Bombyx mori: one gene and its partner. The protein of the gene in region 2 binds, or shares a complex with, the protein of the main gene of each other region. Links are inferred from orthologs where the notes say so. Each region holds a gene or a part of one and is shown on either strand. Other genes may lie near its edges.

Evidence for each region. The genes of interacting proteins can lie anywhere in the genome.
Region 1: protein virilizer (region 2) and N6-adenosine-methyltransferase catalytic subunit share a complex: the UniProt entries of both Homo sapiens proteins name them as parts of the WMM complex. The link is inferred for Bombyx mori from reciprocal best matches to the Homo sapiens genes VIRMA and METTL3.

Annotation. Positions count from the first base shown.
Region 1 is NC_085126.1:4,836,468-4,840,554, forward strand, and holds the start of N6-adenosine-methyltransferase catalytic subunit, read right to left. Parts: upstream 2,801-4,087; 5' UTR 2,466-2,800; coding exon 2,282-2,465; intron 1,821-2,281; coding exon 1,628-1,820; intron 1,220-1,627; coding exon 1,089-1,219; intron 835-1,088; coding exon 743-834; intron 1-742. Other genes in the region: NADH dehydrogenase [ubiquinone] 1 beta subcomplex subunit 9, read left to right, coding at 3,534-3,628. UniProt on the Homo sapiens protein: The METTL3-METTL14 heterodimer forms a N6-methyltransferase complex that methylates adenosine residues at the N(6) position of some RNAs and regulates various processes such as the circadian clock, differentiation of embryonic and hematopoietic stem cells, cortical neurogenesis, response to DNA damage, differentiation of T-cells and primary miRNA processing.
Region 2 is NC_085117.1:6,062,649-6,064,984, reverse strand, and holds the end of protein virilizer, read right to left. Parts: intron 1,683-2,336; coding exon 1,541-1,682; intron 1,267-1,540; coding exon 1,192-1,266; intron 738-1,191; coding exon 664-737; intron 593-663; coding exon 540-592; 3' UTR 501-539; downstream 1-500. UniProt on the Homo sapiens protein: Associated component of the WMM complex, a complex that mediates N6-methyladenosine (m6A) methylation of RNAs, a modification that plays a role in the efficiency of mRNA splicing and RNA processing.

The sequences.
Region 1 (4,087 bases), on a different chromosome or scaffold from region 2:
TTCATTACACACGCACGCACGCACGCACGCACACACGCAAACGCACGCACGCACGCACACACGCAAACGCACGCACGCAAACGCATGCACGCACGCACGCAAACGCACGCACGCAAGCACGCACACGCACGCACACGCACGCACACGCACGCACACACACATTATAAATTACAAATATTATTCATTAAATATTATAAATTAATTATTAATATTACACATTATAAAGTTAACTATAGAAAGGGAGACATTAATTTTGAATTAGAACAGCATCATCTCTCTCTTCAGTGTTTCAGTTTAAAGGATTTGACAGTTGTAATATAACACAGACTTCAAGTCTGGCTGAAGGTGTATGATTCCTATAGGTCTTTCCTTTTTTTTCTACCTAAACTGAGGACCTTGAGAGGCTATTTCAGCTTAACCCTAATAAGTAGGTGATCTCGCAGGGCTCAAACCTGACGACGTTGCTAACACTAGCCCTAGCAAGAGCAGTGCTTAGCAGAATTTACCACCTGATCGGAAATGCGACCCACTGAGACGATCCGGCGAGAAGCTCAGTGGGCTGTGTCTGTGGGTTAATTTACTCACCGAGCCCTTCATCACAAGCGATGGGTTCAACAAGAACAATGACCTATATATTTCCTGATGGTCATTTAATATAGTGTACTACCTATCTCTAACAATATGTATGTGAAATTGCACTATCAGGTTCAAAACAAGATTTGTGAGTTTATTTTATGGTTACCATAATATCTGTGTCGCTCTTGCCAGACTTCTTTTCCTCGGTGGACATCTTAGGAGCTTTTGTAATTGATGTATCTTCAATGGGACTCTCACCTGTCATACAGAGTAAAACTGCTGTTTATTCATGAATAAACTCAATTTAATTTTTATGACACTTCACAGTATTCATAATTGACTTTCCCACTTTGCTTTCTTTAGGTGATCTGTTCGTTCTAAAGAACGGTATGTTCCCATCACTTCATTCAACAGTTGTATTAGAACAAGATCTTTAAACCTATTTGGAAAGGATATCGTCATTATTTGTTTGTGGAGGCAAACCTTTTTGGAGATAAGCATTTGACATTCACCTTTTCTTTTGTTGCTAGTTGTCGTGGTTTCTTCTTCCATCAGAGCTGCAAGAACGGCCGCAAGCCTCCCTGACTCTGCACTCACTACCTCAACGTCAGCATCTGTTGTTACTTCAGTTTTTTCTCTTATACTGTGTAAAAACACAATAATGTAATGTTTGTTTTTGTTATACATTCCTTTCATTTTGTTTTTACATGTTCCCAAAGCAGTGTCGCATGTCTAAATGGCTATCATTTAAAACCACGACTCTTAAAATGATTAAAACACTAAACTCTCAAATATAATTAAAAAGTAGCTAATCTGTCTTTTTTTTCTAGTTTGTATCTCAATTTAATAATATTTTACATCTATTGTAATTAGTTGCTTCAAATTTTACATTTTATTTTCAAATAATTTATTCTTTAACTAGAACTGTAGCATCCAATTTGTAGATAAATGTAAATAAAAAATTAAACTGTAATTTGTGAACACTTTGGAAAAGCCTGGAATGACTTATTTTTAAACATAATATCAACATCCTGATACCTTAAAAACTTACGTGATCAACTTCTGTGTTGCAAACTTCTGTAACAGGTTTGCTACAATCTCCGTGTCCACATCTCCAAGTCCTGGTAGCAGAGCACTGGCAGTAGCAGGTAACTGCAATTGCATATCTGATAGAACTTGTAATAGACGCACTTCCAATGATGCTGGTGGAACGATTGGTTTTGACTTTTCTTGCAAAGTTGAAGCTGGAATAATAAATCATTGTATTTTATTCTAATAGCATTGGTAGAGACTAGTACTAAAGTTTGTTTTGCTCTTTGGTGAATTATTAGGTATTCTTATTTCGGCCGTGAAGCAGTAATGCGTTTCAGTTTGAAGGGTGGGGCAGCTGTTGTGACTATACTGAGACCTTAGAACTTATATCTCAAGGTGTGTGGTGCACTTACATTGTAGATGTCTATGGGCTCCAGTAACCACTTAACACCAGGTGGGCTGTGAGCTCGTCCACACGTCTAAGCAATAAAAAAAAAAAGGGAGTAAGATCTAAACTTTATACTAAAGTTTTTCCACCTGTGTTTCGGCTTAGTCTTCGTGTTTGCTTTACTACTTTCTATGATACTGTTTAGTACCGATACGAATACTATATTTTGCGAATTCGATATGCATTTTGAAAAGAATAAAATTTAAATCTACTTTATTTATTTACCTTCTGATTTTGAAGCCGGGCTACCAAGTGATCGATCTTTATTAGGAGAGGCATCAGATTTCTCGCCACTGACCAAACTAGAGCTCAAGATACTTTGGCGTTCCTTTTTTCGTTTCTCCAACTTTTCACGGAAACTTTTCCTTTTGCTTTTTACAGCTTGTATTTCCTCCCAAGCGTCCGACATAGTGAATATTTGTTTTTTTATTTTATGCCCTAGTAATGTGATTTTCACTGGCTATTTCATGGTTATTGGGATATTTTTTGTGATTTTTGAGATAATATTTGCTAATTCGATTTAATATTAAAGTAATAATCTTACTTAAACCAAGCAAATCTTAATCGCTGATTAAAAGTTAACTTATAAAAATTCTTGATACATAATGTACCTACATACTTTTAATTCATAAAATTAGGTTTAAGCGAGTTAAATAAGCTATTAAATCTCACAATTTTATTTGTCAAACAGCAAGTTTGATAATTTTTTTATCGGTAAGTACCATAGACCTGTCAAATGTCAATTGAGCCATTTGAGATTTTTTTTATAGATTGCGATACTTAGGGCAAGGGCGCAGCGACGGATCGTTTTTATAGCTTAGCGCTGGCTCTCGGTCGGGGGCTGCCTGGACTCTTAACAATTTATAATTAATAATTATAGAAGTAGAAACACAATCATAATTTGCATCTGTGCTTGAACTAGGTGATAAAACCTGTATCTTAAGTAAAAATACAATTTCAGTTATTTAAGTATGTTGATTTAATTAATAAATTAAAAATGTATAATTAATAAATGACCGGCGACATTCGGTTACTTATATATTTATGACGGTTGCTTTTAACATTCCCAATAGGCAGACTAGATTAAAATATCGATTTTATATACTATATTGTAGTGGAAAAAAATACGTAAATTTATATTTTATGGAATGTTAATGAACGCCAGCTAGAAAACTATTTAAACTAGTATCAAACTGCAACTTTGTGATTTGTTACTATTTAGGGTGTTTCAAAATCATGATTTGTAAAAAAACTATATCTTTGCAACAGCCGTAAATTTCATGAAATGTCAAGTTGGAAATTGCATTTAATCGCTTTAATTTGAAATAGTTCCAAAAAAATTAAGTATGGCACATTTGACGTTTAACAATAGGTCTGCATCAAATAATAATAATACACGTCATTTACGTATAAGTAGGTATCTTATTGTTTGACTTTATAGGTGCTTGTTTGTCGTTCGTTCTCTAATATTACAGAAATGTCTTTTGCTCCTGAACTTAGAAGCCATTCACAAAAAGTATGTAATTTTTACAAACGAGCCATGAGAACTCTTGAAGCTTATCATGTTGCAAGGTAAGCTTCTTCCGCATGTAAAATTTTATCTTCGGCGTATGTTGTTTTTCCGTATCAATTTATAGTAAGTTTTTGGCTTGAAAACGGTATTGATTCAATTTTATTGGTGGGTTCAGGTGCATCACTTTAGTTATTTGAATTTATTTGTGCGACCGCTTGTCGATAACTTTTATTAAATTAAACTATACGTAATTATTAATTTAAATTATTGCTAGATCATATTATTTGCACCATAATAAATCCAAACCATTTTCATGTCTTCATAATTTGAATGAGTTCCATACTAATGATTATACGACAACAGGGCTAAGTGCACACTACGATTAAAATTCGGTGCTAAAAAATATCGCAAATCTGTGAGCAATAGAAAAAACACTACAATCCGCGCTCTCCGAAAATAAATCGTTTGCGATGTACCGTATGAAGTGACACCAAATCCAGCGCATTGCGAAAAAATAA
Region 2 (2,336 bases):
TGTTTTATCCTGGACTACAAGGTCTGAGCGACACAAGTTTGTTGGATCACCGCGCGCGCGCTCAGCCGTACAATGATAACTTAAGCTTGTGATTTTAATTTTATCTAATTCTCCCGCAGCCGTACATGATTAATGATAACTTAAGCTTGTGATGTACTTGATGCTGGGGATTAGACGTAGTCGGTGACCACTCGTGGTCATTACGTGTTAATCGTGACGTCACAACGATGAGTGTCACGTCATCATGTTCAGTGTGCTTAGTGCGAGTTTTTTAACGTTTTCGATAGCGTAAAAGTTAGCTCATATTTGTATGGAATGGGATCGTTTGCCGCTAGAGGCGTTGTTCCAACTGCATACAAAATTGGGTTAACTTTTACGCTATCCAGAACGTTAACAAACTCGTACTAAGCACACTGACAGTGTTAGGTCGTAGTAGGACGGAGGGAGGAAGGACGCTCCGGCCCGCGGGGAGGGTTACGCAAATAAATAAAACACAAAAAGAGTTTCTACAAGTGTATATCGCGTCCAGTGCGGTCCCCTCAGCGTATGAAGGAGCGGTGCCTCGGGCCGCGCGGTCCCCGGCACGCGCCACCTGCGAACAGTCGGCGGGTGAGTGTGGTGCGGCCCGCGGGCCCCGGGCGGGCGGCGTGTCGGCGCACTCACCCAGCATGTACTGCGGCGCCGGCGGGTAGTGCCCGAAGTGCGGCGCGCCCGCCTCCCACGCGCCGCGCCCGCGCCTGCGGACACACAGTCAACGCGCACGTCAGCGGCGCCGCCACGACAACGCACACGTGCAATGTACAAAAAATAATGCACGTGCATTTTCAACCTTAAAACAGATTGCTCTTGTAATAGTGAATATTGTGTATAAGAGATGCGACATCTTCAATATTTATATTATACTAGCTGATCCGGCAAACGTTGTTTTGCCATATACTAAGATTTCTAGGGAATTTCTAGTGTAGCAAAAAAAAAACAACTTATTGCAAGTGTGTAAGAATTAGGTAAATGAGTAGCCGATTCTCAGACCTACTTTTACGCTATCGAGAAAGTTAAAAAACTCGCACTAAGCAAACTGAACATTAATTAGAAATATGTATATTGCGAGCTCACGAATGTGTGGAACTTAAAATGATAGTTCTATTAGTAAATCCGTTGTCGTTGGCTCCTGCGGCTGGGGCCGGCACTCACGTGTGTCGGTAATGCGCGTGCACCGGCGCCGCCGACGCGAAGCGCCCGCGGTCTGCACCACGCCGCGCGCCCCTGCTGCAACAGCCGAAGTTACACTACGCACGCACACTGCTTTGTAGTAGCATTTCTATCTATTTGTTCTTTACGTTCTGTCCGTGAGACAAATGGGAATTTACATTTCTTCGAAGCGTCAATGTTAGCACGCGCGATACTGCGTGGGGTCAAGGCACTCAGTGGTGCACAACTAGCAGTATATGAGGCTTTTAAAACAATAAGCTTTTATTTTCTACCCAGCAAACTAAAATTGATCCCCGTTTAGTAAATATTCGTTCTAGAAGTCTGAGCGTACCTGCTGAGGTTGGTGTAGGTGTGGTGCAGCGCGGTGAAGTCGTCCACGTGCAGGCTGGGGGGGCGGGAGGTGTTGGGGGGGCGGCAGCGGAACGCGTCCGGCGCCTCCCCCCGCCCCCGCGACACGCGCACTCCCCGTTCCACTGTCACACGACGCACAACTCAACGAGACTGTACATAACTCCTCGTGGGGACAACACACAGTTTGTTCACACGAGGACTACATATATTCGATTTAGCTTTAGCACAACACTGTCTTGTAAAGAGATACACAACTATTTATCCCTATATGTATATGTAATGAATGATTGAATGTCAATCTGTCATATGACAATTGATAGTTGTTTAAATAATTTTTCGGTTAATGGACGTTGTGAAATGTGTGTTATAGAATTATTGAAGAAAGGGCATTAAATGTTGTTTCTTGTTGTTTAGAAGAAACAACATTTAATGTTATATATCGTTCCACCCAGAAGACAGCTGTTGGTTCAAAGAAAAAAATAAAAAAGCTGTGGTAAAAACAGTAAATAATTCAGAATTGGAAATAGAACTGAATGAGAAAAATCCAAAAAACTAGAAATACCACCATTAATAAAAATAAGTTTACAAATAAATGACACTTTGAAGGTTTCTGGAATCTATGACTCTGGATCTAATGTTTCTTTAATTAATGCAAGATTATTGAAAATACAAGAGAAACAGAAGACAAATGATATGCAAGTTGTAAACTTAAAAACTATTAATGGTGAGAAAAAAACGAAAGGTATGGTAACGCTAAAAATAAAAATCTACAATAT